Caenorhabditis elegans: one gene and its partners. The protein of the gene in region 1 interacts with the protein of each later gene in a pairwise test. Each region holds a gene or a part of one and is shown in the gene's direction. Other genes may lie near its edges.

The links.
Region 2: the proteins of dmd-8 (region 1) and hlh-25 interact in a two-hybrid assay, tested with the Caenorhabditis elegans proteins (one large-scale study listed by BioGRID).
Region 3: the proteins of dmd-8 (region 1) and xnd-1 interact in a two-hybrid assay, tested with the Caenorhabditis elegans proteins (one large-scale study listed by BioGRID).
Region 4: the proteins of dmd-8 (region 1) and mxl-3 interact in a two-hybrid assay, tested with the Caenorhabditis elegans proteins (one large-scale study listed by BioGRID).

What each region holds. Positions count from the first base shown.
Region 1 is NC_003283.11:331,915-339,768, reverse strand, and holds dmd-8 (DM domain-containing protein), read left to right. Parts: upstream 1-3,318; 5' UTR 3,319-3,330; coding exon 3,331-3,466; intron 3,467-3,622; coding exon 3,623-3,795; intron 3,796-3,844; coding exon 3,845-4,363; intron 4,364-4,634; coding exon 4,635-4,916; 3' UTR 4,917-5,168; downstream 5,169-7,854.
Region 2 is NC_003280.10:5,531,785-5,539,178, forward strand, and holds hlh-25 (Helix-loop-helix protein 25), read left to right. Parts: upstream 1-3,454; 5' UTR 3,455-3,455; coding exon 3,456-3,613; intron 3,614-3,669; coding exon 3,670-3,900; intron 3,901-3,947; coding exon 3,948-4,365; 3' UTR 4,366-4,621; downstream 4,622-7,394. Other genes in the region: C17C3.9 (Coiled-coil domain-containing protein), read right to left, coding at 8-85, 132-227, 274-327, 423-470; hlh-26 (Helix-loop-helix protein 26), read right to left, coding at 1,195-1,471, 1,522-1,728, 1,790-1,938; C17C3.11 (Protein kinase domain-containing protein), read left to right, coding at 6,051-6,215, 6,262-6,334, 6,379-6,626. UniProt on the Caenorhabditis elegans protein: Probable transcription factor. Modulates lifespan and also recovery from the developmentally arrested larval state known as dauer, perhaps acting upstream of phosphatase PTEN/daf-18.
Region 3 is NC_003281.10:5,599,903-5,609,275, forward strand, and holds xnd-1 (X chromosome NonDisjunction factor), read left to right. Parts: upstream 1-4,557; 5' UTR 4,558-4,558; coding exon 4,559-4,931; intron 4,932-4,977; coding exon 4,978-5,167; intron 5,168-5,217; coding exon 5,218-5,309; intron 5,310-5,356; coding exon 5,357-5,558; intron 5,559-5,647; coding exon 5,648-5,894; intron 5,895-6,351; coding exon 6,352-6,690; intron 6,691-6,734; coding exon 6,735-7,316; intron 7,317-7,363; coding exon 7,364-7,447; 3' UTR 7,448-7,654; downstream 7,655-9,373. Other genes in the region: wdr-37 (WD repeat-containing protein 37), read right to left, coding at 1-149; madf-11 (MADF domain-containing protein), read right to left, coding at 701-853, 1,291-1,430, 1,475-1,758, 1,807-1,859, 1,902-2,129, 2,699-2,970, 3,019-3,280, 3,325-3,416 and 1 more; C05D2.8 (DUF7064 domain-containing protein), read right to left, coding at 7,672-7,936, 8,421-8,531, 8,576-8,816, 9,220-9,295, 9,346-9,373.
Region 4 is NC_003284.9:13,346,777-13,354,254, reverse strand, and holds mxl-3 (Protein mxl-3), read left to right. Parts: upstream 1-3,450; 5' UTR 3,451-3,464; coding exon 3,465-3,557; intron 3,558-3,608; coding exon 3,609-3,882; intron 3,883-3,934; coding exon 3,935-4,079; intron 4,080-4,134; coding exon 4,135-4,330; 3' UTR 4,331-4,616; downstream 4,617-7,478. Other genes in the region: ptr-24 (SSD domain-containing protein), read right to left, coding at 6,392-6,583, 7,318-7,398, 7,458-7,478. UniProt on the Caenorhabditis elegans protein: Transcription factor which regulates the expression of genes involved in lipid metabolism in response to nutrient availability. Binds to the E-box motif 5'-CACGTG-3'.

The sequences.
Region 1 (7,854 bases):
ACGTCAGAAAAATTCGAAAAACGTCAGAAAACGCCACAGAAGTACGGATTAGCCTCCAGATAAATGATGGAAACATAATATTTTTGAGAATTCGAATATTTATTTATTTCGATTCATTTCTAGTTCTGTGGTTCTTTTTTTGTTGATATATATATTGTTTTGACAGATATATAAAATTCTCAATACCATCATACTACACACATTTTTTTTCTTAAAACTGTGGAAACCCAAAAAATAAATATAATTTTGGCAGGTGAAATTTGGGCTTTTGATTTTTGTTATTAATCAGTATGCCCATGTTCAATTTTGCCTCACTATTAAATTTTTCGAGAGTTCGCTGCGAGACCATTCAAATTCTAATTTTTCAAAATTTCGACAGGAAAATTAAATTTAAATTTTTAAAACAACTTTAGTAAGGAATTAAACTTTTTACAAAAAATTCAGAAATTAAATTCCCGTGGCTATTTTTTCGAGAAAATCAGCATTTAATATTTCAGAAAAAAAAATTGGCGGAAAAAATTGCACAAATTTTGAAATTGAACGACAAGTTTGATTTTTTAAGGAAACTCAAAATTTTATTTTAAAAAATCTTGCAAAAATTCAAATTAAAAGTTTTAATTTTTTTGAATAAAATTTTTTAAATTAGGGGGTTTCAACTTTTTTTCCGAAAAAAAATTATTTGAACTTAAAATGTTTCATTTTTATAAAAACTAAATTTCTCATAACTTTAGTGTTTTTTTACTTTCAAATTTGAATAAAAACCACCAAAAATTGATTTTTTTCAAAAATGTTTGTCAAAACAGGAATCATGTCAGTAACCCTCCAGACAATCATGTTTTGTGAAACGTACCCAAATCACGGGGGACCAGTAGTGTCTCGCGGTGTCTAGAACAATTTTGGACAAGCGATCAGAAACGTGTACATATAATACATATAAGTCTAAAGTTAGAAAAAATTTCTAAAAACAATATGTATGTTTTTAAATGTTAAAAAAAATTAAATATAGAGTTGTTTTTTTGAAAACTGGCAATATCACAATTTTTGCCACTTTTTCGAAAATCAAATTTTAAAAGTAAAAATAAATTTCTTCGAGCTTTTTTAGTCTACTTATGAGTCAAATATATGGGGCAAAACTCAATAATTGCTTTTTTTGACTGTCCATAAATTTTTTTAAAATTGTTTTGAAAATTTTTATTTTGGTATTTTGTCATTTTACACAATAGGAGTGGTTTTTAACAATTTCTTAGCTGGCCCGACTGCATCTTCTACATGAAAACTCAGGAAAACCAGTGATCTCTCAAAACTTTTGAAATTTTTATGAATAGCATTGGCCAGCATCGCATTTTGAACCATCTTATCCAGTGACGCAAAAATTTGACTTGACCGAGTCAAGCCGGTGCTTATCCAGGTACTTTCGAACAACGTGGCTTGGAGCTATCAAAAATGATAAGCAGATTGAATTTTGACGTTATTGGTGTCAAAACCAATGTCACTAGGTATGGTTATTTTTAGGAGTGCAGGTTTTTTTTGGAAAATAAAAAAATGTAACTTCATTAATTTTTTCCAAGAATTTTTCTTATGGGTTGATTTTTTTCAGGCTTTCTACCTACCTCCAAGAAATCTTGTTGCATTCTATGTTTTCCTATTACCCCTATTCCACGTGACAAAATATAGATTTCCCCGGTGGGAGCAAGAATTCTTCAAAGATTACGGTAGAGCGTCTAGACGGTGGCAAAAAAACAAAACTTGTCGATCAGAAATGAGCATTTCCCAAATGAGCATAAACTAGTATAAAACAACTAGTTCCTACATGTTTTAGTATAGTTTTTTTAAACATTTTTTTTACTGGAAAAAATGTTTTTTTTGTGCAGCCGACAGTGATCGAGGACGGTACAGAATTTTTTTTTAACCTTGCGTGTAAAATTTGGTGCATTGGAGTCGGTGAACGAGGCTTTCGGGCTTGCTTGCCAGGCTCCTTTTCAAATTTAGATCGAATTTCATTGTTTAGAAAAAACATTTTAAAAAATTATTCCATTATTTAGAAAAAGAAAAAAAATCATTCAAAACAAAAAAAGCATGATAAAGGCAATCACAGAAATGGATTTAAATCGCCTAATAATTCAAACACAAGGGCTAAGCAATGCGAGAAAAAGATTAGCAATCGTCAAAATCCGCTACAGATTTTCTTATATTTTCCACACAAAATTTGAAACCACTCTGAGCGATTGATTTTCGACACAATTTGTCATCCGATTTGTTGAAACTTCTGAAAATCTTTTTAGTTTTAGTGTTTTTTTGTGGTTGTTATGAAACATTTTGCAATGATTTTCAGCTTGCTCAACTTTGAATTTTCCAAGGTTTCGTAGGCGTAGACCATAGGCGTAGGCCATTAGCCATAAGTGTAGGTCATAGGCGTAGGCAGTAGGCGTGGGTCATAGGCGTAGGCAGTAGGCGTAGGCCATAGGCGTTGGCCATAGGTGGAGGTCATAGGCATATGTCATAGGCGTCGGCCAGCAAGTTTTTCAAGTTTTAAAAAATTCGAGTGTTTTCAAAACGAGATGAGCACCACCTTTTTGTGAACAAAATGAAATAAATCGGCTTTTAGTCCAACTGCTCAGTTGCTCCATACTGATCCGCGTAAAACCCCGACCGGATTGCCCCTCCTTATCTACGCAAACTGCGAATCTACGTAATTTCCCCCATCGACATGAGAATTCCGTCATAGCTCCGCAGAGCCAAAATAGAATGTTTACGGCGAATTTTCTCGAATGAGTGGGGAGGGATGGCGGAGACGTTAGACATGGTTAGACAGCAATCAGGGATATTCAAGAAAGAGGCGGAGCCGGCAGATACAGAAAATCTTTCATTCCTGGATTGAAGATGGGAAAGGCGGATGAAATTTTATTTATTTATTTCGATTCCATTTCATTTGTGAATTCATTTCGATAGCTTTTTTGCTCCAAGGGGAGCTAGGTTACTGTAGATAAGGGAAATTTTTGGTGGCCGAAGAAAACTAGAAAAACTTCGGTCACGCGCCCAAGCCTCTACAACTTCCTGTTTTGCTTATGCTTTCCCTGAAAATTTCTCTGAAAGCATCGTCTATATAGCCCCCAGGGCCTTATCAGGCGACTAGTAAAACATGTCACAAGATTTTTTTTCAGACAAGTGACTGAAAGTACTGTAAATATTCCATTGACGCAGTGTCTATAAAATTTCAGCCAATCAGGTCATCAAGCTCAAGCATCCCTTATCTTGTAGCCCTCACAATTTCATTTTGTGCTTCAACTTTTCCAACTCTTGAAAAATGGAAAATTTCAGACTTACCTGATCATGTCCTCATCTTCCCTGTCATCTTCTTCAAATGCCTCATCGCTCAGTGCTCCAGAAGGGCTTTCACCAAACAACAGCCTCTCCCCGGATGTTGGAGCACAGAGATTTTTCAGCCAAGGGAAAAGGATCCCGAAAGGTGAGCTATAGCTTCTTAGCAGCCGACAGTTAATTGGTTTCACGAGAAAGGGTCAGTAGAAAAATGTATGGTTGGTTAACTGTCGGCTGCTGATTTTTTTTCAGAAATTAGTATGGCCTACGCCTAACATAGTTTTATTTTTTGTTAAATTTTCAGATGTGAAACGGCACTGTGGAATGTGCAAGCAGCATGGAGTTTTCGTAGAGACGCGCGGGCACACCTGCGAATATAGAAGTTGCGAGTGTGAGCAGTGTGACTTGGTCCGTAAGCGACGGGAGATCATGTCAACTCAGATTCGTCTCCGACGAGAGCAAGACAAGAAGTTCCAGGTACCTTGTGATTTTTTTCCTAATTTTCCTAACTATCCCCGTGTTTCAGCGTACCAATGATATCAGCGAGGCCAACGTGTTCCCAGGCTTCACAGGTGGGGAGGCAGATGAAAAAGCTGTCATGGAGAACATGAACATGTGCTATTTCTGCCAAAAATGCAAGAATCACAATGTGCTCGTCTGGAAGAAAAATCACAAAAAGGAGTGCCAATATTCCAGCTGCGAATGCCAACAGTGTAACTTGATTGATTCCCGTCGTGCCCTGGACCGGCATATTAAGAAGCGAAAAATGAGCATAAAGGGCAACACGGTTGAAGCTATCGCACCGAAAAGTCCCAAAAAAGAGGGCTCCACCACGGCTTCATCATCGTCACTCTCATCTTCTTCGGGCTGCAATTCGGACGAGTCGGCTTCATCCTCGGATTGCTCGCTATCTGGAATGCTATCAGAGAAGTTGAACATGGCTCCGCAGGTTCAGATGAAATTCGACTTCAGTGCCGGGGGATTTATGATTCCTGCAGCGACTTCGGCAAATGCAAGCACTAGTCCGGCTGGTTCTCCATTTGAGGTGAGGTTCAGATTTTCTGAAAATTTTTTCAGGTACAGCTTGAACCTGAAAAGGCATGTGGGCATGTAGGCATGTAGGCATGTAGGCATGTATGTATGTAAACCTGTAGGCATGTAGGCATGTAGGCATGTAGGCATGTAGGCATGTAGGCATGTAGGCATGTAGGCATGTAGGTATGTAGGCATGTAGGCATGCACTAGTCTCGTCCTAAAAACTGCTCTAAAAGGTTTTTTCCAGAATTTCTAAAATTTCTAAATTAAATTTTTTTCAGACAACATCTCCAATGCCGCTTCTCCTTCCGCATTCACCAATTGCTCTTCCACAACTTGCTCCATCAAGCCTACCGCTTTCATTTCTTACCGTACCCTCTCTCATGTCCACCGCGGCCTCACCATTTTTCACGGCTCCGCTTATGTACGGAGCTGCTCCAACTCTTTTCCCGAATCCTCTCCTGATGACCCCTATCGGAATGCAAATGTTGTTCCAGAACTTTCAAAATTTTCAGAATATCCGTGAGCTTAGCGCTGCAATTAGCTGCGCTGAAACCGATTGATTTTTCTTTTTAATTTTTCAAAAAAAAAAACAATTTCCAATCTGTGATTTATTGTCTTTTCCCTGTAAAACTCTAGTTCCTTCCCAGTTGCACCTCAAAAAGAGTAAAAACCCCATCGAAATTTTAAGCTGTGCGGGTTTTCAGTTCAAACATGATGATAATAATATTTTGATGTTTTTGTGTTTTATATTTCCAAAAACTTTTTTTTGATTCTGCAAAAGTGATAAATTAATAAAATTGTACTCTTATCAATTTATGACTCGACTAGAAATTGAATTATAAAGTCACGGTTTTTACAGAGAATTTTCCGAATTTTCAGCCACCATATCTGGAATTAAGCTTGGATTTAGAAATTTCACGGCCTTTTTTGCATAAAACGTCAGGAAGCAATCCCATATATTAAAAAAAAACTAAATGTTAAAATTCAAATATATATTTTGTAGAATTTTTTGTAATTTTTTTTCAAATTTTGCTATTCCAAAAATAAGCTTTCCGGCTAAATTGAGCAGTTTCACTTTTTTTGATTTTTTATTTGAGACGTGATCTGTCAAATTTGCATGCATTTTACAGCAAAAAAATTAATGTTAAGTTCAGGCCAGTTTTAGAGTTTCACCCAATTCCTTTCGGCCTGTCAAGTTTCCTTTAATGACAATGGTTGAAAATTTGAAAAAAATGGCCGAAAAATTCATTTACCAGTGAAATCTCACAATCAGATTTTTTTCAATTTTTGAAAAATTTAAAATAAATCTTTAAAAAATTAGAAATTTTGTTTCGGTTAACATGACCTGTTTTTTTGTATCTCTTCAAAAAATCTCTTATAAAAAGCGAACTGTAAAGTGTCGGCTGCTTCCTAGAAGTTCTCGTTGTCTTCACAAATCACAAATAAAGAAAGAAGTCATGTCACGATCGTGCCCTCGAGACGTCATATCAAATTCTATTGCTTATCAATGTTTCAGTGCCCAACCTGAATCCTGAGTCACCCGAGAAAATGTTCTTGTTAACGACTCGAGCCGGTACTAGTGATTTCATAAGTTTCTTATCAGCTTTATCAATAAAAAATGTTTTTAGTATCGTCTTCGTAAAAGAAAAATGGAATGCCGGTTTTGAGAATCACATAGAGCTTGTGATTTTTGAGATGACGTGAGGAAGTCAGGTAGTATAAAATAAATTACGTTTGAGTAACTTTAATTGGATTTACTTTGGTTTTTTATTGTTCGGTGCTCGCCACGACATCATGCCTGCGTGCCTGCCTACCTACGCGCCTTCAGGGTGTGGTGGCAGTAGGCAATCTTAGGCTAGCACGCCAAATGCTCAGGTTCTGCAAATTTGTTTTTTGGTGTTATAAAATTTCCCTTCTTCTCTATGTATCCTTATCGAAAATTGTTGATTATGGAATTTTTCACACAAAATGCGGGTTTTTTCCTATCAAAATTTTGGAAAATGTCAATTTTTTCCGGACAAATTGACATTATTGTCACGGTTTTAAAATTAGGTATAAAAAAGATAGACGGATGCTCAAAATATTTATTTTTGACTTATTTTTAAATTTTCAAAAAATATTTATATTTTAAGAATTAATAAAAATAAGAAATGTAAGAAATATTTCCGAAAATCTGTTATTTTTCTACCAGTTACCAGCTTTTCAACCAGCCTACTTTCCTGCCGGTGCCTGCTTTGGAATTTCAGGTTGGTAGGTAGGTTGGTAGGCAATGTATTTTGAACCTTTTGCAGTAATGAATATTTTTCATGAAACTTTTAAAACATATACGATCTTGTATTGGCGCCTATCTGAAAGTTGCGTCAGACGAAGGCCGGCTTGCAGGCTGACAACTAGGCCTATACGGAACACAAGTTGTTTTTTTATCGAGAAAAACTGAAAATAATTTGATAATAGAACTTTCTGTGCCACTTTTGAAATTAGCAAATCACGAAAAAAATAACGAGCAATTTGTGACCGTTTTGTGATTTTTGCACCGTTCAATAATTGACTCACATCCCCAGACCACAGTTTGATAACAGGAAAATTGTGAAATCAAATCGAATTATTTCCTCTATTTGCCCAAGTAAGGCGGCAAAAAAAGTTTCAAAAGTTTCTCACAAATTGTAAACACAAAGGCACGGTTTGATAAGGGAACACAGTGTGGAGCACAAAGGGCGGGCGGAGAGGCTTCTCATCAAAAAGGTGTTGGCTTGTTTCAAGCATATTTTCAGGAGAGTTGGCTCCGCATTTTTCCAAGATCATATGCATATCTATGTTATATGATACCTGTAGGTACCCCCTTAAAGGACCCTTGTTTGCTTTGTGTAGTTTGGTCATGGGTAGGAGCCAGTTTATTGATTTTTTGGCAGTTTTTGATATGACGAGAAGAAGCAGAGTCTATTTACTTTTGATTTTTATGAAATCGCCTTTTTTTCGATTTTTTTTGTTTTAAAAATTGAATTAATTCAAACATTTTGAACCAATATTTTTTTGATAGAACATCTTTGAATTCAAAAATTATTTTTTTTCATTCCAGAAATTTGTTTAAACAAAAATGAAAATACGTGTATTTTTGAAACTTAACTAATATACTTACTTACTTACTTACTTAGTAAGTAGGAAACTGGTGGGAAACTCGTAAAAGGTGGGAAACTCGTAAATTCAGAAGCCTAATAAATCGGAAAATTTTAGTCGTATTTCAAAAAAAATCATAATATTTTAAGACTGAAAATTTACATTTAAAAAAATAATGGCTAAAAGTAATTGTTTTAATTACAGCTTAAAATTATACTAAAATTAAACACTTTCTAAATTTTTTAGTAAATTTCCAAATTTTTTAACTTTAGATTTTTTTTTGAAGTATTCTACAATTTTTGAAATGTGAATATTTCAAAAAAAAGTTGAAAAATATTTTTTGGTCGATTTCAAAAATTCTACTTATTAAAATAATTTAGCTTA
Region 2 (7,394 bases), on another chromosome or scaffold:
AACGAACCGTTCGATATTCGTCCGGAATTGTAGATATTTCCTTCTCATAACGGTCAAAGCAACCAACAATATTCTCCAGTTCCGCCTGTAACATTTGAAAGTTGAAAAACGTTTTGCAGCTTACCGCTTACCGTGCAAAAGCTAGTATTTGCGAAAACCCTTTGACATTCTTCGAACAAATCATTAGAAACTGATTTCAGTTTTTGCAGTGCTGTATACGTCTTTTCCTGAACAAGATTTCAGAATCAAATGTAAAAAAAATCAAATAATTACCTTCTCCATTTCCGTTTCAGAAATAGTCACCATAGTCAAGATTTGTGATTGGTTCTGCGAAAAATCAGATAAGGAAGAGATACACTTTTAATAATAGTTTTTATGAGAAATTTAGTCCTGTAAAATTATAAATACAATGTTTCACTCACCTCTGCAACTGCCTTTCGCTCGACCTTCAGCCGCTTTTTGCGTCCCATTGTTGTTGGTCGAGCTCTCTTGAAAAACTAATTTTTCTTATTAAATGGTTTTTATATTTTCAATTCAAAGAAATTGAACACGTGTTCCAAGTGTTTATTTTTAATAGTTGTGCTGACATTTTTTGAATTTTCTTTCACAGTTTCTTTATTTTTCAGGGTTCGTAAACCAAGTTGCCGGTTGCCGAACTTTTTTCGGCACTTTGGCAACTGTCCATATCAACGTCAAACATTTTGTAACTCAAAAAAAAACATGCAGAGAGCCTGAAAAAGCTAGAATTTCACTGTAAACGAAAAAAACGACCATACATTTTTCCAAAACGCTCAAAAATTTAATTTCGACAAAAAAAACTTTGAAACCTGGTTGCCGAAAAGTTTCCGAAGTTCCGGCAACCGGAAGTTGCTGGCTGCCGAAGTTTTCAGCGTTCGGCAACTTTGGCAATTGCCGGTTGCCGAAATTTCTTTAAATCTCGGTTGCCGCACAGTCCTGGTAAGAACGCAATTCAGTTCTATAATTTTTCTCCAATTGCTACGCATCTGTTCAAATTATCATGCACACTGTGCTGAAAATCTCAATATTGCTGTGTGTTAAACTTGAATTTATTATCTTGATGTTACTTTTTTAAATTTATTAATTTTCAATGAATCGGGATGCAAAAGATGTCTAAATAATGTTGAAAACTGTTGAAAAAAATTGGAGACCAATACGATTTTCAGCTGAATCTCTTCAGCCAACAATATCGATATCTTTCTCATTTTCTTCTATTTCCAGAGCGTCAATTTCGAAGCTGGAACTTGGGACAATAGGAATCTGAACTGTAGGCATGTGAGGAGGATAAAGTGAAAATTGATTGTATGAATTGAAAACTAATGGCGAATAAACTGGGAATACTGGGAGAAAAGGAAGTATTGGAAATGGTAGGCAAGGTACTGTACATGTGATCGACTTTCCACGAATCACTTCAAAGATGATTTCTAGAACCTTCAAATTCTCCATTTTGTCTCTGAAAAATACGTGTTTTTTAATTTATGGCCAATAAAATCTAAAACCTACATTTCTTCTGAGCTACTCAAATTATTCAATGCAATAAATTTTCTGAGCTCTCTGTACGCGGCAACTCTCTTATTTCGGCGAACTTGTTCCCGATCGCTTTTAATCTTTTTAATACTTCTAATTGGTCCAGGCGATGTTGAAAACGATTCGTGATGAAGTTGAATACCAGATAACAATTTCACAATACGAAATAGAACCTCTTCTTTTCTGAATAGACATTAGTTGAGAGTACGTTTTTTTTTTTTAAATAAAATAGTAGAAAACTTACGAAAGTTTTTCAGATTCCGATTTTTGAACGATTTTCTTGAATTCATTCAACAGATCATTAGTATCATCTCTTCTTTGTTTTTCTGTTTCAGATCGATGTCCATGTGAAGAAGGGGACCCAGATGATGACGAAGTTGGAGAGGAAGACATTATGAGTCAAGGATCTGAAATATAATAATAATAGTTAACAAAAGATTATTAGACAAAAACCGTAATAGGGAGACTACAAAATATGAAAGGCAGTTCAAATTAAAGACTTATGAAAACGTTGAAAAGAACCAACCTTACAGTTCAAGTATGCAAAAACATAATGACTACCTTCCATTATATGTTCGAGTTTTTTCTTCAATAGGCGGGGATTCTCATCGTTTGGAATATCATGGGAATCTGATATCCATACCTTTATTACGCGTGGTTCTCATGGTGCATCGAGTACCACATCTCCAGTTCTTGCCGTGGCAGCCTGAGAACCCAAGCAATGCGAAGGGTCACAACCTGAACGAAGTTATTGATTGGTGGGAAAAAATAATCCTGAAATGAATATTTGGTAAAATCGGAGCTCGATGGAATTTAAAAATGTAAATATATAATACAAAAGAAGAATTTAGAATATTTAAAATAAAAATGCATATTAATTAACTCAAATAATCAAATACATGAATTAGGTTATAGTATTTTTCCTTTACATGATAGTTTAAAATATTTATATCAAGCTGTTCTAGAAATGTTTTAAAAAACAATATCCAAGTTTAAAAAAATCTCAATTTATTTTTAATTTACGAGGTTTCCATCTCAGCGTGTGACACTTTTCTTATAACTTGGCACCTACATGTATCCGGTGTGAATTTTTTCTGTTGCTGTGTGAGCATTTCCAGCAAACCGGAGTTCTCAAAATCAGTAAGGTTATATGTTAAAATTAAACTGGCTTATTATTTTCAGAAAATGAAAAACTGCCATATTTGAGTGATAAACTGAATGAATCCGTAAAATTTGGTAGTTGTATGTTCTATGCATTATCATATACATCAATCTGGTAATTTTTATTAGAATCAGATCTTGAATATTGGAAACTTTGCGAATTAAAGACAAATAATGATTAGGCAAGCTGATTAAATGAGTGATAAAAATGGTTAATGTCAATTCACAGTCTCCGCCGAAATTTCCCAGGCTGTACCCAATCAATATCCAGTCGTGGCAAAACTGGAGATGTCCTGACTCGTTCTCATGAGAACCTCACTGATGAACCATGGGAACCCGTGATGGGGACTGTAAAAATAGAGATTTCAGAATAATTCCCATGGCTCCAAACGCTTGATACAAAGCTCCACCCTCTGAACAATAATGGAACTATAAAAGGTAACCATTTATTCATTGTTCATTTACTTTCTTAGTGGATCACTGGTCTGCTGGTTTAGTATACTTTTTGATAATTGTAACATCAGGAAAGTGTACTGATTTTGATCAATTACTTTTAAAGCATTCAGTGAACTGTATACTTCTAGAAAAACAGTACGAGTTATCTCACTAAACTAAATCAATTTGTGCTGCTTTCTTGGTCCCATTTATCTGTTTTGTCACAATTATTCCTTTTTAACGGCTCATCTTGAATTTTTATAAATTCTACATTTCTTATTGATTTTAAATTAATGAAAATTATTAAATTTCAGATGCCAAAAGTTATTCAGTCTTCAATGAGCGATTATCGTTCCGTCCCATACAATCAAACTCCAAAATCAGCTTCTGAACGGAAAAGAAGAAATATTACAAACGAGTTGATTAACGAATGCAAGACGATTGTTCAAAAATCAGAAGAAGAACATATATCGTAAGTTTAAATACTCTGTTAGCTTAAAATAGTTATTAAACTAATTCATTTTTTAGACAAGAAGTAGTTCTCTTCCGAATTGTGAAACTTGTGACTGGAGTTAATCTGGAATCTAATTTCTCATCGAATGACCTCTCCGAATCTACAAGACGGAAGTTTGATACTGAATCCGAAAGAAGAAAAGTGAAGACTGAACGTGAAAAGATTCGAAGAAAGAAACAAGATGACTGTTATGCTGAATTGAAATTCTTCATTTTGAACAAACAAATGGGAAGTTACGAGCAACGGTAAGAGTTTCATTATGGCTAATAAAAATTCAAAAAATTATTTTCAGATTAAAACTTGAACGGATCACAATTCTAGAAATCATCATTGATTACATTAAACACAATTCCGATCTTCTGTATCCAGAAACAATTCCCCAAATACTTCCTCTTTTAGCTGGAAAATCAACTGCTACTTGTGAGAACAAAGAGAATGAAAAGCCAAAAACACGAATGGAAGTGAAGGATCTCTTCCCAAGATTGACGTTTCAAGAAGTTCAAGAATCCCCAACATCTACTTCTCCATTGCTCACATTTCCATGTATTCCAATGATCCCAACTACTCAGTTCAATGTCTTGTCAAACTACAACACCGTTCCATCAATATTTTCTGCTCCCCTCCGATTCATTCTTCCATCACTTCAAATCTTAACACCAGAAACTAGTGACGAGGAAGAAAATGAAGAAACCCTCGATATAATTAACTAGTCTATCGATCTCCTGCAAATTTACAATTTCTGAAAAAAAACTTATTATACTCTATTCTAAGGCTGTCAAAACTTTCCTGGTTTTCTTTCATTATATTTTTCACATCCCCGTAATCTCAAATTATGCCACATTCACAATATCAACTTGTCATTGTTTCATTATGTCACCAAACTTTTTGAATGTTTATCTAATGCCAATATATTGAAAATGTATTATACTTATGATAAGCCAAATTCTAATAAATTGAAATTTTGTTTTCACATTTCAACATTAATTTGTTCATTCTTGCCACATACCAAACCTATTGACCTACACCTGAGTATTGTATTAGAGAATATTCAATGGTGCGCTCTTCAGAAAATTCAAAAAATTTAAACTTACGTCAAAGTTTTGTGGGATGTCCCATTCTGGAAAAAAAACACATAGGGAAAATTGAAAAAGTGGCGATAAACTTTTCCATACGGGGAAGTTCTAAAATTAAAGCTTTTCGATGTTTTCTTAAATGAAGCCGGTCAGCAGATTGTCGACATCATCCGGAAACATCCGATATTCAGTGAAGCTGGGACAGGATGTCATTTTTGAGGTTTTTTGAAAAATTAATAATCTTCCCTACTAAATCATTTGAAAATTTAATTTTTTCGGAAATTGCAATCATTTTAAAAATTAGTTTCTAAATTTCCCAAAAAAAGATAAATAAATAAAACCGAAAAAACTTTGATTTTCGCTGCGAGACCCGTAGATGGACAACAAATTATTTTGCCATTTTATGGGCGTGGCTTTCCCCTTTTTATAGAAAATTTTGGTTGAGAATGTAAAGGGGATGTGTTTTTTTGAAAATGTTCAAAAACAAATCTTTAGTTCTAACTTTAAATTGCGTAACTTTTTGTATTTAGAGCTCGGAAAAAATAATTAGAATGTCTCTATAATTTGCTAGTTGACAACTATGTAATTTTCTGAAAAAGTTGACAAAAATTGTTTGTTTGAATTTTTTTTTTTCATTTTTCACAATTTTATAGAATTCTCTTGTTTTTGAGTGTAATTTTTGAATACAAAATTGAAAAAAAATCTAAAAATGTTCTGTAGAAAGTTGAATTAACTTAAAGTTCAAGGAACCGAGTGGGCGTGGCCAAACGAGACTCCAAATTCCGCTGGGCAGTTTGTAGTGGGAGTTCAGTTTTAAACTATTTTTTCGAGCTTTTTAATTTGAAATTTTGATTTTTTTGGAAATTGCAATCATTTTAACAAAAATTAGTTTCATAATTTCCCAAAAAAAAAAGATAAATAAAAAACACCGAATAAACTTTGATTTTCGCTGCGAGACCCGTAGATGGACAAACAATTATTTGGCCATGTTATGGGCGTGAGTTTCCCCTTTTTATAGGAAATTTTGGTTGAGAATGTAAAGGGGATATTAGAATTGTGTTAATTTATATTATATATATATATATATATATCAGAATAAAAACAATTTGAAATAATTTTGAATCAACAGTCCGGATTTTTGAAAATCTCCTTTTCTAGTTTATGAAGTTAATTTTATTGCAGAAAAAAACAAGAAAAACTTTTTTTGAACGTGGACTTCAAAGATGTGATAACGTTGTGTTTAAAAAAGTTCGTCAACGACAAGATCAATATTTTCCGAAAATCCATAAATAATTTATTTTCAAATCTATTCTCGTCACGAGATGACGGAGGCTCCCGTTATTCAGCTAAGTATTGACTATAGAGTTCGTCGTTACAAGGTTTTCAAGAAACTTGAAGATGGTGAATTCGGAGCAGTGTATGCTGTGCGAGATGATGCTGGAGAGGAGCATGTTTTGAAGGCTCAGTTGAATACCAAGGAGATATATGTGAGTTAATACTGTCGAACCATTAAGCAGAAAATGTTATTTTTAGTCGCTGAGAATTGAGCTTTGTGTGATGACAAAGGTATCTGAGAAGTCGCCCAGCCACATGCCTACTCTCATTGGTATGTAGTACACTTTTGTAGGTAACCGTAACCCCATCTTTCAGACAAGGGACGCCATGACAACTTTAACTATATTGTCATGAAGCTTCTTGGGAAATCCCTGCAAGATGCTATAAAGACTGGGCCTGATGGTCATTTGACATTTGGGCTCTGCGATTGGGGCATCGTTTCAATGCTTGGAAGCATTGGAAGATTTGCATTGGAGTGGGTTCTTGGACAGAGATGTGAACCCTGGCAACTTCTATCTCGGAAGAGCAAGCCAAGGCGAGCTTCGCAACATTTTTGTTCTTAGATTCGGATGTTGCCGAAAGTATGTAGATCGCGAAAATTTGATGCTCGAGCCAAGAAAAACTGTGCCATTTCGTGGAAGCCCTCGATATGCACCGCTTGCATCACATAATACGGCGGAACATGGACTGAAGGACGATTTGGAAAGCTGGCTAGTTTAATCAATTTAAGAACTAGTCATTTATGTGATATATTCTGTAAAGATGCCAGAAGGCCAGATTGGGTTATCACTTAGAATTGAAAATAAGAATAATAGTTTTTATTTGAGAAAATGTGTTTTTCTAGGTTCTACATGCTCGTCGATTTCACCAATGCAGCTCTTCCCTGGAAAAATGTAAATGAGATTGGCGAGATTGGTGCGATGAAGAAGAATTCCCGCTTCCAACCGATCATGGGCCAATTCCTTGCTGGCTGCCCAGATGAATTTCGCTTGATTATGAAGTGAGTCTCTACCAAAGCTGATTTATTCGTAATTTTCCATTTCCAGCTATATCGACAGTCTTTCGTTCTTCAAGGAGCCCGATTATGAGATGATCTATACAACACTGCAAAAAGTGATGCTAGACAAGGACATTGAAGAGTTTCCGTATGACTGGGAGATGGAATTTGGTGTGGACTAATGGAACTTTGATTATACATACTTGTCTTGCTTGTATTCTGGCTAACAAATTTTACCGAATAAACATTCATTTTCAAACAGAATAATTTAGACAAGACTATCACGTGAGTAGTAAAAAATCTTCAAAAATAGATTGCGACGCGATGGGATGAA
Region 3 (9,373 bases), on another chromosome or scaffold:
TAGAGACGGGCTCGATACGGAGCATCGTCAACGTCCAATGAGCTCTGAAGAACTGTGAGTGCTCCGCTGATCTCTGTATCGACAGTACCACGTCGTGAACGCATCACCTTCTCTTTTTCGGCATCTTTTGAATTCTCCGATTGTGGCATTGACCCACTGCAAAATTAATAATATTTATAACATGCAAAACTTATTGGCAAATTTGTTTCATCCTTTTTCAAACTTGCTCTCATAAATTCCAAAATTTTCCTGATAATTAGGTTTCTTTCATTCTGTTAAATTTAGTTTTTATTGAAAAAAGATTCACTGCCAGCCCGTTTTTAATTTAAAAATGATTTTTTGTTGGGTTTTAGGTTTAAAAGCCATTATTTTGAGGCAGATTCAAAAAAAATCTATATATTAATTCTGAAAAATTCAAATTAGAAGAAAATAAATATTCACAAGGACGACAAATCCATATTTAAAAAGGTTTCAATTCCTGTTAAAATTAAAAATGTTATTGATTTCATCTGAAAATTATGACAAATGACAATATTCGAAAAAAATAAAATAAATATTTTTGAGAGAAAAGGAGAAAAGAGAAAAAAGAATACGTTATGTTCACTGATATGATTGATTTCGGGAGAAGGATGGATTTTTTTCAGAAAAAAAGAAAAAAACAAATTAAATATTACAGAAGCATTGTACGTCAAATTAATGTCTAAATCTCTTCAGGAACTTCGTGATTCGGATCAATTTCCACGTGTGACTCTACCTCCAGCATCTCATCGTGTTTAAGCATATTTCGGGCTGTGCCTAAGCCAAATCTTGCGTCGAGTATAATTTTTTGCATGTTGAATTTCATCACGGATTTCTGAAAATAGATTTTTTTAATATTTCGAAAGTTAAATATTGATGTTGAAGTTTGCCTGGTGATTTTTCAATGGGAACTTCAATGATTTTTAGGCTGATTTATTACAAATATTGAACATAATTTGATTTTTTTTGTTTTAGCTCATTTTTTAAAACAATTTTTCCTGTGTAACTCAAGACTTGAATCCAGGATTATTTCAAGTTTGCTTGTATTTTTTTCTTTTTGGAAAATTTCACTTTTTTCTGAGAAATTCGATTTTTGTCCACAATTTTCAATGTTTTTTCTCAAAATTTAAATTTTGTAAGCAAATGACATTTCTTCCTATAAAAAATTTTTTATATCCAAATTCGAATTTTTGTATAAAACTCCAATTTATTAATGAAAAATCGAATTTTTAAAACTCTTCCGCGTAAATTTTGTTAAAAACCAAAAATTACCTCATCATCAGATAACCTGTTCAAGACACTATTGATATGTTGTTGAAATGCGAGATCTTCATCATATTGTATCGCCATTTCATCAGAAGGTCCTCCAACCACCACTTGCTGCTCAATATCATCTCCAACACCCCCATCATCTGAAAATTCATTCAATATTCATATTTTTCCAGCGAAAAATTACCAATATCTTGATGATGATAATGATCCATTGAAGTTGATGGCATATCCATTTCATGATTTTGTGAACTTGATTGTTGAGATTCCAGAAGCATTCCAGAACCTATTTTACACTCTCCATCAGCTTCTAAAATAATCTCATCGTCGGCAATTGGGACTCCATCGGTTAGAATTTCTTTGGGTAGACACGGGGCATTTGATGAGGTTGATACACCGACCATTTCACTATTTCGATGACCCACTTCCAAGTGTATTTTCTTTTTTGGTGGTTCCGATGGCATATTTGAACTGAAATGTTTTATTAAGTGAAGTTTAAGAAGTAAAAAAAAAACTCACGAATCTATAAGTTCTGGCATCGAATCATAAACCAGGGAGTTTGTTCGGTGAGGCTGAAAATTTAATTCTTATTTAAATAAATTATTTTTTCCTACCATATGTACCAATCTTCTAGATGAAGCCACTGTAACTGCAGGTTGCGGCGTTGCACTTCTATGCGCGGAGACCATTTTGTAAATTTTCGTATTCGATTGAGCATAGGAGGGTGATGGTTCCACCTCCACCAATACACCTTGTCGTCCAAACGGATTAACTTCCTTTTTGACTTCATTCATTTGATGTTGTTGGTCTGGATTATTCTTCTGTGGCATACGATGCTGTTGCTGGAATGAAAAAAAATCAAAAAATTGTTATCGGACTACGAGCTCATCAACTACAACACGGCGAATGAGCAGATACTGCAGATATTGGTATTGCTTCATTAGTCGCGCACACAATGCAAGTTACAAAGTGTAATGCACCATGAAGCGGGGTCGAACTTGTGGACTGTTGCTTTGCAGACGAGAGTGTTAGCCAGTAGGCCACCCGTGCATCACCGCAAGCGAGGCCGGTAAGGGGTTTTTGAATGCTTGCCTTTGCTATTACCCAGACGTGAAATTTGCGATTTTTGCGCCAAACATACGGTACCAGGTCTCGACATGACTAATTTTTGTTAAATACAATAAAGTGTGCGTCTTTAAAGAGTACTGTAATTTCAAATTTTTGTTGAAAAGCTATGAAAATCGATGAAAATTCCGTAGCAACAAAAGTTTGGAATTACAGTATTCCTTAAAGGCGCGCATCTTGTCGTATTTAACAAAAATTGTTGTGACGAGACCGGTTATCTCATAGTCAGCAAAAATCGGAAAAATTAGGGTCTGAGTAGTAATTACTTCATCGTTTTTGCACTTACCACTATCCGCTTCGGCGATAATGGATAAGTTCGAACAATTGCCTCTGTTTCTCTTGATTGTGGTGATTTTCGACGGGAATATGAAGATGTGGGAATTTGTTGATGTGGCCTAACATGAGGCTGAATAACCACATAATCGAACTTCATGGATTCAGAATTTCCGAGACTTTGTCCGGGTTCTAATACATCTTCTGCCAGCGGAACGTCATTATAGAAATCCTTATCCAGTCCGGAGGACATTGCGGTGAGCTGTGAAGGAGGTCGAGAGTCTGCTGAAAATATAAATGATTTTGGTGTATTTCTTTGCAAGAAACTCTTACATTTCTTCTTAAAAATCAATGAATCTGTCCATCGCATTGCCTCAATTAGTCCATCGGACATATCAATCGATTTTCTAGCATATTGATCGAGAAGATCCGACCAGACTTCCTGAACAAGAGTGATGTCCTGCCAAACTATATCAGCACGTATCCGATCCCATGCTTCTCGTTTCTGAACCTTCAACTGAGCATCCGGCGTGGCGGCTTGCATCTCCTCATCGTAGAGAATCGGATTTTCTCGAACCATATTGATTAGTTGAAGCTGAAAATTTGAAAATTTTGAATTTTAAACGTTTTCCAGCTTACAAGTGTGTATTGCGTAGTTTTTACGGGTGGATCTTCCCTGGAAAATTGTTGTTGGAGGTCTCCAGCACCACCGTGGGAGCTTGAGGCGACACCTGGAAAAATTATTGGAAATTCTGAATCTATGAATATCGATTTACTTGTCATTGAATGCTTGAGACCGGCGATTTGATAATCCTCTGTTCCGTGCCGCCGTCGGTCGCTCATTGGAAATTTTTAATAATAATTCTGAAATTTATTTTCTTCTCAAATTCTCGCAAGTTTCTCAAGCATTTCTAGCTGCGTTGCGTGGCGATTCCTTCCCGAATTCGAGTTTCATATCAATCTACGATCCATTGAACCCAATAACCCGATTGGCAAGAAGATGATCGTACACACTCATTCACATAGGTGATAGACGTGCTACAGACCGTGGGAGACTCGAACGGGTAGTAGGGCGGAGCCGGGAACCGCGACGCAACCGAAACGCTTCAGAAACCGCAACGGAACAGGCATGCGAAGCGGTCAAGATTCGAAAAAGAAAACGGAGCGAACAGGCAGAAAAACATCGATAGATAGGCGCGCGTGGCCGAGAAGGAGGCGAGACGAGACATCTAGGCCATCGATGGTTTCTCTGCGTCTCTCAAGTGAGTAAATAAATGGTTTTGAGAGGGTAAAATGAAGAAAAAGGATTGATCGAAATTTAAAAACTTAGTCTAGGAAAGGAAAACAAAGCAGGGGAAATCTGAAACAAAACATATAAAAACACACATTTTAACTATTTTTCAGAGTTAAACAAATATAATCTAACAAGAATTCAACTTCAAAGTGAAGATTTCCAGAAACGAAAATGGTTATGTGATTTAAAAATGTGATTTGTTCAAGGAATTACAAGAAAACTCTGGTTTAACATTTGAAGAAAATCCATATTGCGAAAAATGAATTTTAAAAGAATTATTGACGGTTTTGAAATGTGAAATTTTCAATAAATTTCGAAAAATAGATAACTTTTTTTAAATAAAGAAAAACAACGAAAAAATATTTCAGTGGTTACGGTAAACAAGCATAAGAGTGTTTGCGTACTGCGGACCAAAATCTTCGCGAGACCTCGGGTACTGTAGAAAATTTAGGTATTTTTAAAACTTTATTTTTCTATTAATTTCCCTTCTTTCTCATTGGGATTTTCTAGTTTTCTGGTAAATAAAAACAGTTTAAATTTAAATTTAAAAATTTTATCTCCATATTTTTTGTTTCCAGGATGTCTTCTGAACCCATTGTTGCCAATCTAGACAATTCCATGACGACAGAGCCTGCACCCGCAGCTTTTCCACCAATATCCCCAATGTCATTTGCTTTTATGAATGAAGAAGAACGAGCAGCGGTCAAGTTTCCAAAAGTTGATCCAAAACCGCAAACTGCTAAAGATGATGAACCTTCCACATCCCAGAAAACGTTGAGCGTCGATGATCTTCTGATAGTCGACGACGACGACGAAACTGATTCACCACCGGCATCTTCTAGTAATTATGAACCTAAAGCTCATATTGGATGGGCTTCATTCGGAGATTCCTGTCTCCCACCTCCACCAAAGCCAGTTAAAAAAGCTACGGATCCAAATTTGCCACGAAGAAGTTTGTTTGCAAATGGTCCTCTGTTAAATAAAAATATTGTTTTCAGAAGTCTACGTCATTCGTTCTCAGAATACAGACAAGTCGAAGTCCCCGTTAGTTGTTAATAACCAACAAGTAACACTCGAAAAGGCACAAAATTCTCCAAAAAATCCGAATCCTGTTGTATCTAAGCCAATAGTGCTTACAGACTCTGATGAGGATGTGGACGTTGTTGGATTCGACGAAGAGGAGGAAGCGTTAGTTTTTAAAAAGTTTTTTATTAAACAAAACAATCACCCGTCTTCAGAATTAAAATTATGGCCGACCCTACACGCCCACCAGATCTTCCACCACAGCGATCTCTGATATCCAGATTTGAGTCGAATCGAACCAAAAGAGGTATTTTCCATGAAAATTTGATTTTTTAAAGCTCATTTTCTCTTCAGATATCTTCCGAAACAGTTATGATTCTGATGAGGAGGAATTTCTGCGATCTCGGTACCAGCGAGCTGTCACACCGCCGCCAATTCTCGAGCGACAAAGTGGAAGTACTCGGGAGTCTGTAAGCGAACCAAGTGAAGGGAAAATTCTCGAGGAAGACGCAACGCTTGGAAGTGAACATACGGAAAGAGTCGGAAAACGAATTGAGTAAGTTGAATTTCGGGTTTTTGAAAACCTTGACTTCCAAAATAATGACAATTTGTTTAATAAGTCCTGCTAAAAAGCAAATTTTCCAGATTGGAGGAAATCAATCCATCACAGCTTCTACGAACCAAAATTTCGGCGAGCGCAATTCCAATCCTTCCACTCTCCAAATCGATAATGGAACGTAAAAAAGTAGCTCTGGAGATGACGAAAAACGCCGTGATCAGACAAGCGAATAACTTCCGTCCAAAAGCCAAAAACAGTACCGTGGCTCCAAAAAGTGTCCAAATTCCTGCATATAATCATAAAACTCCTATGACGTTCTACTCGAATATGGCGGTAAATTATATATTTTTGGAAAACCCTAAAGTGGAACTTCAATATTTCGAATTTTCCTGCATTATCATTAACAAAAAAACTTTTCAGCAATTACTAGTGTTTTTCATCCAATAATTATATTATTTCATTCCCTGTTTTCATCATAAGCAAAAAATATTTTCATCTAATGGTTGCACAAAATGGTAAATTTTTTGAAGAACTACAGTAACCCAACTCCAGTTTCTCTCAATAAATTAAAAAAATCTTGGCGAAAAATAAGAAAGTTCAGCGACATTGAAAAGAAGAGGAGAAGGGTTACTGTAGTTCTAAAAGGCGCTTACATTTTTGCGCCGGGATGATTGGAGATAATTGTTCGTGGTGCGACCGTAGTTCTTCCTAAAATTTTGCCACTGGCTAGTACTTTACAAAATCAAATTATTTGTGGCGAGACCTACAACGAACAATTTTCAAAATTCAGGCCCCCGCCTTCGTCAAAGGAGTCAATGGAAGATGTTATCGTTGCGCCGAAATTCAAAAGCCTGTGGATATGAGCTCCTTCCGATTCGTCGACGATTCTACCGTTATTGCCATCCGTGCTCATCTTTGCGATCAGACACGCGTCATGGTAGCTAGAACAGCAATTTGGAATCGAGAATACGCGAAACGACTCGGCGATCGAGCTGCTGGAACTGTTTGGCAGAAACCGGACGAGGTGTCGGCTCAGATGACCGGATTTTGCAGTGCGACGGTTCGTAGATGTATTGAGATTGCCAATATGTCTATCATTCCAAAGTGTGCTGATCGTGTTGGTGTTTCGGTAAGTTTCAAAGAACAAAGAAGATTTAATCTAACTTTTTTCAGAGAAACGAACTGACCTCCCTGAAGTCTTCTTTCGGATCCGAGAAGTTTTGTGGGCAGACCATGCGAGCTCCACATGTACTCACTCAGTTCTACTCAGTTAATCAGGCATCGATGGCTCGTAATAGGGAAGGTTCTGATGGTCCTTCTTCCTCAGCAGCAAGACCGGTTGGAAGACCACCCACTACGCAACCAGTAGAAACTGCAGTGGAGAAAAAGAAGAATGATGAAGATGAGAAAAGACATCATCCACTCACAAACTTCACAACAGCATCCACGTCTTCCCAAAATCTGCAAGATCAACCACCACCCAAGAATACCGTTCTCCGCTGGTCAAATATCACAACTCCGAGGATTCTTCGTCCACCAACTCTCAAAACTCCCTACTCGCTTCCCAGGACTGCAGTGATTCCGGTGATGAAGAAGAAGCAGCCCGAAATAGAGCAAGTTCAGCCGAAGAAGGACACGACGGCAAGCCTTGTTCGCAAAAGAGGCCGCCCGAGAAAGGAGAAGCCTCTGGAGGTGCAGTCTCCTCGCAAGGGACTATATCTTCGCTTCAAATCGTGCACAAAGTATATTGTTCGGGTAAGAGAACTGAACAATTTGAAAACTTGAAATATTTGGTTTTACAGACTCCAATTGACAAAAGTGTCCAAGAAACGGTGAACTATCTACTGGATGAGGTTGACAAAAGGGCTTCAACTTCTGCTACGTAGCTGCTACAATCTCTGTTCTTTTGTTTTTGTTTTCTCGTTCTAAATGTTTTGTTGTCTCATGTTTTTAGTTCTTCGGAACTTGTTATCCCCTCCCAGTGTTTTATTATTTTTTGTACATTTTACTGTTGCTCTGTTCTGCACGTTGACCCCACATTTGTTAGTAGCATATGAAACGGTTTTATAAAGTAAGTGGAAAAGGTAGAAAATCTGAATTTGATAATTTTTTAATACGGCTGAATACGATACTCGACTTCCGCGAATCCCCATCCCGGCTTTCCGTCGACAACGAATTCGCTCATTCCTTCGGTGACCTGACATGCTTGATCCAATCCCATTTTGAATGAGACGGCTTCCTTGATATGAACATCTGCGTGATGAATCTTGCCGTCAACTTCGAACGAGTAGTGGAAATCATCAGGGAAATGACGATCCTCTCCGTGGTTTGGAAGGGAGAAGTGTACACGATCCACTGGCTTCGTCTCACCAGTTCTGAAAAAAAAAATTTAGGTTCTGCCCATTAAGGAAATTACTAGAATCTTTTGCGAGAATACGGTACTCGGTCTCGAAACGACTTAAAGGACACTTATAATGATCCAAAACGACGAAAAATCATAATAAAACACTCCAAAAATGTTTATATTTTTCGTAAGCTTTCGCAAATTGCCAAAATATTGAAAAATAGGAGCTATTGAGAAAATCTAAAGCAATGTTGCATACCCCTACAATGTGTTAATACGAATAGTTAAAACAAAATTAAAGTATTAAAAAATGTGATAAAAAAACAATTTTTTGGGGTGACTTCGAAAATTATAAGTGGAAAAACTGAGTAATTGTCACTTTTTGACATATTCCGTGAATTGAATTCCACGGTTTCAAAACGCTGTGAATGTGTGGTGTCTCTCGCAGAAAAATTCAAATGCGCCCTGTTGAGCCATTTTATGTGTTTTCTTGGAGCGTAGATGCATCAACCCACGGTGTAACAATATATCCAAATTCAAGGTGACTAAAAACAGTTTCTGGCATTGAAATAACCGAAGTATGAACACATGTACCATCTTCCAAATGGTAAATCATCATGATATATCTGGAAATTTAGTCAATCTACGATGCAAACAAGTTCCACTTTACCTTCGAATGTCTGACCATCTGCGGTATCCAGCAATCGTGTGATCTCTCATGCTCGTCATTCGAATTCCAGAAGCAGTGTGATTTCCAATTCGAAAATCTCCAGAAATCGTTCCAAATTGTTCATAGTGTGACTGATGGGATGCTCGCATTTTATCGAAGAGTCCACGGCTCCATGGCTCAATTGCTAAAGAATGAGCAATTGCAGTGGGGGAGCACATCTTGTCGAAATCGAATTGATTTCCTGGAAATAGAAAATAAAGTAAAAAGACGTGCGAGGCCAATAAGCGGGCGAGGCTTGAGATTTCACAAAAGCGTGGGTGGCGCCATCGAAGATTTCTTGTAGTCACCAAAAAAGCAGGACACTTACCGCGAAGCTCACCCGCGGAAAAGATTCTTTGAATTTTGGCTATCGCGGAAGAAAAAATATTTTCTCTGTAGGAGGTGTGCACAAACAATTGACATTGAATTTCAGGACATAACCCTAAATTGCTTGCCCCCTTTCCAGAACGTTCGCTCTGCGGTAGATTACATTCCCTAGGAAGTGCTAACCAGCTCTTAAGAATATTTATCCGTGTTCTCCACGTGGACAACATGAAGATTGACTTTTTGAAACGAATTTCACTAGAACCGTTAAATTCACAAACCGAAATTCGTCCAAGTCAGGTCGAAATTTGCGTCAAAAATCTTTATGCCATCCTTCATCTCCTCGGATCCGTTTTTCTGAAAATTGACAATACTTTGTAAAACATAGGAAACTCCAAAAAACTCACAATAAAATTGATTTTCCCCGGTGCTGAA
Region 4 (7,478 bases), on another chromosome or scaffold:
TGCACTATGATGAATCAGTTGAAACAAGTAGGGAAAAACATAATTCTGAATACAGTTGATTATTGACTGCAAAACCGGCTAGACAATTCCATCAACATATTTGTTTTAATCATATTTTTTAGGGACCTCAACTAATTACGAAGGCTACTGATAGCAAATCGTGGAGAGTGAATGTTTAATTTATGAAATTTTTTCATTCAAATAAAGTTGTAACCGTGTTTTTCCACATTGTGTTAGCATATTATACACAATTTTTAAAGCTAAGATTGAATTTCATGCACTTTCTTTTTGACATAGACATTTTAAAAGATAATTTCTCATAATATTAATAATCAGTCATGCTTCCCCACAGGTGCAAATCATTTTGACCCCGTCAGTCTCTTGAGCGACTACGATATAGGCGCGCTCTTTCTATTTGCCACTACCGCGTTGATACACAATGTAGTCACACTTACTCACGTCGCAACGAGGAGGACCGATCGCGAATTGTTCTCTGTTCACTCGAATTAGTTATACGAGTTTCATCTCTTCCTTTCAATTCACTCTCCTCTTTCAATTGGGTTCATTGCTGAGTGTTTTGTGATTTTTCGATGAACACGCGTACCGCACGTGAAGTGTTGATCATGCGGAGAAATGTCAACTGTACGTTTCTTAAAAGATACTCTATTTTCACTAATGTGCACTGATCAGAAGCAGGAAAGTAGTAGAATCGACGTAGCAAGTCAAGGTGTATTCGGGGATCAACGAAACAACTGGACCAATATATGCTCTTTGATCACGTTGGGATCGAAATTGAAAGAGAATGAATTTTACATCCACCCTCATTTAATCTGTTGAGGGTGTGGATTAGTGTAAATTCCAAGCAATCAGATGACTGCCAAATAGGGGATAAGTTGGCTTAAAAATTAAGAAAAGCTTAGAAAACCACTTTCAAATAGATTAATATATTAACTTAATTGGTATAAAAATGCAATTTCTTTGCGCTCTAAAGTTTGGCGAAAAAACAAATCTTTGATTCATAGCCTTTAATAAATAAGTTTTCAGATTGCATTGAAACAATTAGAATCACATGGTTTAGACACAATTCAAAAATCCAGTCAAGATTGATTCATCCGCACTATAAAATAAAATATTTATAATCATTCACGAGCTTTGCCATAAAATATCTGTATCTAGAGTAGCAGTACTGAAATTGCAAATGGTGGCAAAACTAAGAGTATCCATATGTGTATTTGATTAACTTGTGGTACAATGCATAATTAGCAATGGTTTTGCTTGATTGTAGCGGTTAAATGCCGGTTTCACGAAACCTAAATGTGGTTAATCCAAGGTATATTCAAATATTAAACTTTTGTATTTTTTATTCCGTGTTTACCCGATTACATTCATTTTAGATTTGATTCATTCTCTCGATTCAAGAAAAAAAAACAAAGAAAAACAAGGATTTCTAAAAGAAAACCCAGCTCTATTTGAAATCTTTTTCCCAAATTCCTGGTAATGTACAGCACGGCGGTTTTATCTTTCCAGAGCTACTCCCTCGAAGAAATCTGAGTTGATCCAGAGAGATTAGTGGTTAACGTTTAGATAACACACTTGATCGAACAAGCCGCCACCACGCTGTTTTTCGGATTATTGATATATAGTTGTGATTTTCAACAGATTAGCAAAGGATTTTGTAAAGCTTATCGTCAGCGTGCTTTTTTCTTTTAATTTTTTGCACGAGCAAGACACCCACCCTCGCTTTGTGCAAATGACCCTAGTTCATTTGAACTATAATATTATTGAAATTTCCAATCAAAGTCCATATCACTAAATTCTGTAGATACTGTACAACATCCGAATTGTGAAATCTGATCGTTCTTGGCGCGAAATCATATTCACCCCCTACGTTAGCCCAAAGTACGATCACATTTCTATCGCAGTCGTCTAAAATCAAAATCAATTCAGGGTTCATTAAGTGAGCGTCGCATGACCTACGTGATAGAGCAATTAAACTGAAAAACCCAAACGTTCGATGTCTAAAAATATCATTCCAGAGAAATGAAATACATTTTCAGTAGACCTATGTGCTAGAAAATGTGGAAAAAATTATCATACCACCACCATGACTATTGACAGTGAAAAAAGAGATTTTAAAACTGCAAAAAAGTTTTAAAAATTTAGTTATTAAAGAATTGAATCTGACATTACTCCAAGTCTTACAGAGTTATGTAGCGTTATGTAGGGCGAAAATTTGAAATGATCTGTTGTTATAATTGTAGTGAAACATATATTTTGATGTTCTTCTTTCTTAGTATGATAATCTGCGATTTTTTGTAGGAACGAATTTATTTTTGGTTGAAAGTCAACGACTACAAGGAATTCGAATATATGTTGGCCGTTAATACATTTTTATTTTAGAGGAAGTTTGCCTTTTGACTCAAATTTTTTTCTGTAAAACAACAACACATGTTTAATTTGTTTACAACGTTTAGCTACAGTCCCCTAGGCCACACACTGCTGAAAGAAAAAAAAACAAAAGTAACTAACAAGTTTGGGGTCATAGTACACCAAGTTGTTTGTTTGCAAAGTTTTTTGCCTGAGTCTGTTCACTCCTAGAGGTGTACGGTACTGTTGACACCACCATACATCATTCGGAAGTAATTTGACCTACATTTTGAGCTCACTCAATGTTATCAGAGGTCTTTGTGCGTTGCACACATCACGATGCACGCACACTAAGTCAAGGCAGCCAAGGAAACAAAGTTTCGGGTATTTTTTGTCGTCAAGAAATGAACACGGCACGTGAAGGCGCATGTGAATGAGAGGATGCGTTGCACCCGACCGTCACCATCGAAATTAAAATTGAGCTACGCATTCTTTGAGTGTTTGCACTTTTTGACATCCCCGTGTTGCCATATTTGTGCTTCTCCCAATCAAATTGCTTCTTTGCTGACATCCTCAGAATTTCTTCCAAAACATTTGTTCCTTGTACCCTCTCAAGGAATGCTTCATCTTGATCCTTCCCACAAACGCATGCTACCCTTACGAGATCCCCGCAAGATTCACATGATTTCAGTGATCGGTTGACAAAATGGGGGAAGGCTATAACCTTCTGCTCCAAAACATGGGCGGAGCTACAGAGCTTATATCAAAGAGCGCCACTTCTCCGGGCACCCTAGCACCCACAGTGGCTGAGGTGCAAAGAACACACGCTGACCGCGTGTTGGAGGCGGCGCGTCGACTCCTCCCTTTCTGTCAGACAGAACGCCCCTTTTCCTATATCTTCCTTCTCGCATTGCAGATCATACCACAGTTAACGACACCCTCGAAGATGGTCGCATGGCTCTTTTACATATTTTTTGTTTAATTGTGTATTTGTTTTTGTTTGTGATAATTTTCACTTACAGTATTCTTATATAACCTTCTCTTAAAATTGATATTTCATTGCTATATATATTAAATTTACAGTCAACATCTCTACCATGTCCGCAATCGTTGAAGACATGTACTTGCTTTCTTCATCCATGAAAATGGAAAAACAATTCCGCAAACGCCATCACTCGGATTCTTCCGATGTAAGTTAAACTTCTGTTGTACCCTTATTTTACTAATTGTTCTTTTTCCAGGACGATTCTTCAAGCCCGAAGTCGGCTTCTCCATCCATGGATGATGACCGTCGTGCACATCACAACGAACTTGAACGCAGAAGACGTGACCATATCAAAGATCACTTCACCATTCTTAAGGATGCCATTCCACTGCTTGATGGGGAGAAATCGTCGCGAGCCCTGATCCTGAAACGAGCAGTTGAGTTCATCCATGTCATGCAAACTAAGCTCAGTAGTCAAGGAAAAGCCATTGAAGATCTCACAAGGAAAAACGAGCTTCTTGAGGAAAGGCGTAAGTTACATGGATATCTAGTGGATTCATGAGCTCAATTTCTAATTTTCAGTGCTCGAACGCGAGTCTTCCGGTTCTCCATCTTCCTCTCGGCTTCCAGCTCTTGCTGTTAGCTCAAGCCAAATGCAGCTCACCATGCCAATTATCCCACAGATGCAAAACATTGCACAGCTGTCTCAATACCCACAACAAGCAAAGTAAGTAAACAAATAAATTGTTCCGAATCTGATTTTAACAATTAAGTATTTTCAGTATAATTGCTCAATCCACAAACCCAGCTCAATTAGATGGGCTTATTGCTCTTAACAATGATGCCATCTTGGCTTTACTCGGAAGCTTTCAAAGCGTGAGCCCATCGCTTTTGGATTCTGCACCTGGTACTCCACCTTCTGGCTTTTATCCTTGTGCATTTTCTCCGGTTGATCAACAAATGGCAGTGAAAATCTAAAAACCTTCAAAAAGGCTTTTTTATTTCTTAGATACCCCCACCCTTCGAATTCTCTAATATTTTTTGATCTCATTTACTCGGTCGTCATGAACCCTTCTTCGGACATTCCAAACATCCATTCGGTTTCTCCGGACATACATGGGTTTCACGTGTACTTTAAGAATTGCCTGCTTGATCTGACAATATATTATTTCAGTTTTTTTTACTCACTGATTTGTTCCAGTTATGATATCTTATTTATTGATAATGCCGATAATAAATACTGATAATAAATATTTATATCAACATTTTTTCAACACCAGTAAAACACATTGCAAAAAATTAAAATTTATAAAGGCACCCAATAGAAAGTCTTTCAGCTACCGTAGTTCTTTGCTGCAAAGTAAACAGGTTGTTACTTTTCTTGTCAACTTTATTTAATGGTCAATATACGCGTCAGTAGTCGTATACTTTAAGGATTTTTACAGAAAAAATATTTATGTCTATTCCTCTGGACTTTTGCATGGGGAAAAGATTTGGATTTTAGTAGTGGTCATTTTTATAGAATTGAAATGATGAAAACAATGCTTTTTACCACTTACAAATTAGAGTAACTATTTTCCATTATACATAACAGAGATCTGCGACAAATTTGCCGAAATTGCCCAGCAAGAGAAATTTCCAAAAAGTGGGTTTGCCAAATCTGCCGAGATCGGTAAACTTTGAAATTTGCCACACACATCACAAATTCGACTAACATAATTTGACCGGAACCATTGATTTTGCTCCAAAACTTCTAGTTAAGTAACATGTAAGCAAGACTTGTACGCAGATAGACCACACGGATCTTGTGAAAAAATCAAAAGTATGCTTAGAATTCACCATTTTTGGTGCCCCATACAATATCAAAAATTATCACATTTTTTCGAGCTTTTCCGGCAAATTTGCCGAATTTGCCGAGTTTGGCATATACTAGAAAAAAGAGCTCGGCAAATTTTCATTTTTGCCGCACACCCCTGGTAGATCTAAAAAAATCTGAATACACATAGCACTACATTGAAAGCCAAAAATCTTTGGAATAGGTTTGCTGTTTTGAAATAGGTCGTTTATTGCACTTTGCTCCTGCAATTCTAAACAAGCATGCTCTAAAACATGATATCAACTCAAAAAGTACACGGTACAGTGCTCTAACGTTTTGTTGTAGTCAAATCATATTTCATCACGTATCCAAAAAAAACCGCTCTATTCCACTTTTCTTTCTTTATAATGTGTGTTCTCTGAGGCCATTTCGTAAAACAATATGCGAGGCATATCATCACACGTGTCATCAAATGACTTGATGATATGATTGGTTCAAAATATCAAATGCGAGAATCGCATCGTAAGCCAACGGAAAAATAGTTGTTTCAATTCAAAACACACTTGAGAGAACGAGGACAGTTCACTGAACAACTCAACATTGAACCTTCAAGGAGGAATATCGAAGATCGCTGGGAGTTTGTCAATGAAATATGACGAATATGTTGTGATACAGATTTATCAAGTTTTGCAGTTGTTCTTATTTTCAAGAAAAAAAGCCTTCTGAGAAATTATATAAAATTTACGTTTTATGAGGACCGAATTGTTCGGGGAGAATCAAAAACTTTAGCATCTTTCCCAGGGTGCGCGGCAATAAGACATTTTTGGCAGATGGACATTTTGTCAATTCCTAAAATTAACAGGGTTTGCTAAGAATTGACAATTGTTAAAAAAAAAAACGTCAAAAGTTGTTAACTGCATAAGTTTCACAGTTACTTCTACAATAAATGATTCAGTTACGCTTTTTATAATTCAAACAAAATTTATTTAATAACTGAAATTATCCGAACAAATACAATACATGCGAAACAAATACCACAAAATTTCCCTTCTTCGCCGAAGAGAACAAAGTTTTGGCACAATTTGGAAAAGATTAAGGTCTAGAAACCGTAGAATGTCGATAAAAAAGTGACAGGAATGGTTGAAAATGAGATGTGGTGACATTTAGCTTACAGATATTTTTTGGAATAAAAGTTTACAATGAAACACTAAGGAAGAAATTAATTAAGATTGAGGGGAACAAAACCAATGGGTACCCGTGAACATGTCGGGGAGCATGTTGAGCATGACTTGCACGAAGAATGCGATGACAATACCCAACAGACAAAACACGTTGTTGGTGAAAGCCACTGATTCGAAGATGTTTATATGGCAGAACATAGTCGGCACGAAGACCGCAATAGAGCATATGACACTCTGCAAAAATTACAATTTTTAGGACTTGAAAAATTATGAAGAGATTGGTGAACTTGTTGCTACTTTTCTGTTTTTTTACGTGTTAACAGTTTTCAATAAGTTCCATCAAATTTGTGTTTCAGTGATGTAACATTCACAGTGAAACATCACACTTTGGCTAACCAAGTCACTAAGTTCAGCAGACATGATTTATCAGTTCTGGTAATCGTAATTTTCACATGTCTAGTTCCTGGAATCGAATCCTGCATATAGAATCACTTGCTCAGCTGCTGATGTTGTAGCACATGTGCGAGCAATTTATGACTAGTTATTTTTGCAGATTTCAGCAAAGTTCATTTATTACGATGTGTCTCTACTATGTGTTATGTGCGGGGCTGACAGAAAGTTCGATTTTTCTTAAAAATAATTATAATAATTTAAACAATTTTTGTGGATTTAAACATTTTCAACAATTGTTTAAGAAATTTCTTATCATGATTGAGACTAATTTTCAGAAAACCTCAAGACATATTTATGGGGTGTAAATCGTATTGGCTCTAAAAATGGGAAAAGCTATGAATTCTTCTAGAAAGAAGGAACATTTTTTTTTTGGAATGCAGGAGTAACTGTGGAGACAATCAGTTTCAGAGAATCCAGTTGTTTGCGAAAAGCTCGAGTCCCATAACTATTTGCTATCCCCCTCCTCAGTTTAATTTTTCAATTAAAATTTGTTATCATAATGTTCAAAACCCTACCGCAATGCACGGAAAGAAACACTTTCTCAGCATCTCGTTCATTCTGTCAACTTTTTTTGCTCTCAATTTGATACGCATTGCCTGCAACATAAAAGATTAAAAGATCTTGTCACAAATTGTATCACGTTTTTTAAAATCACCTGTTGATAATAATAGCAATA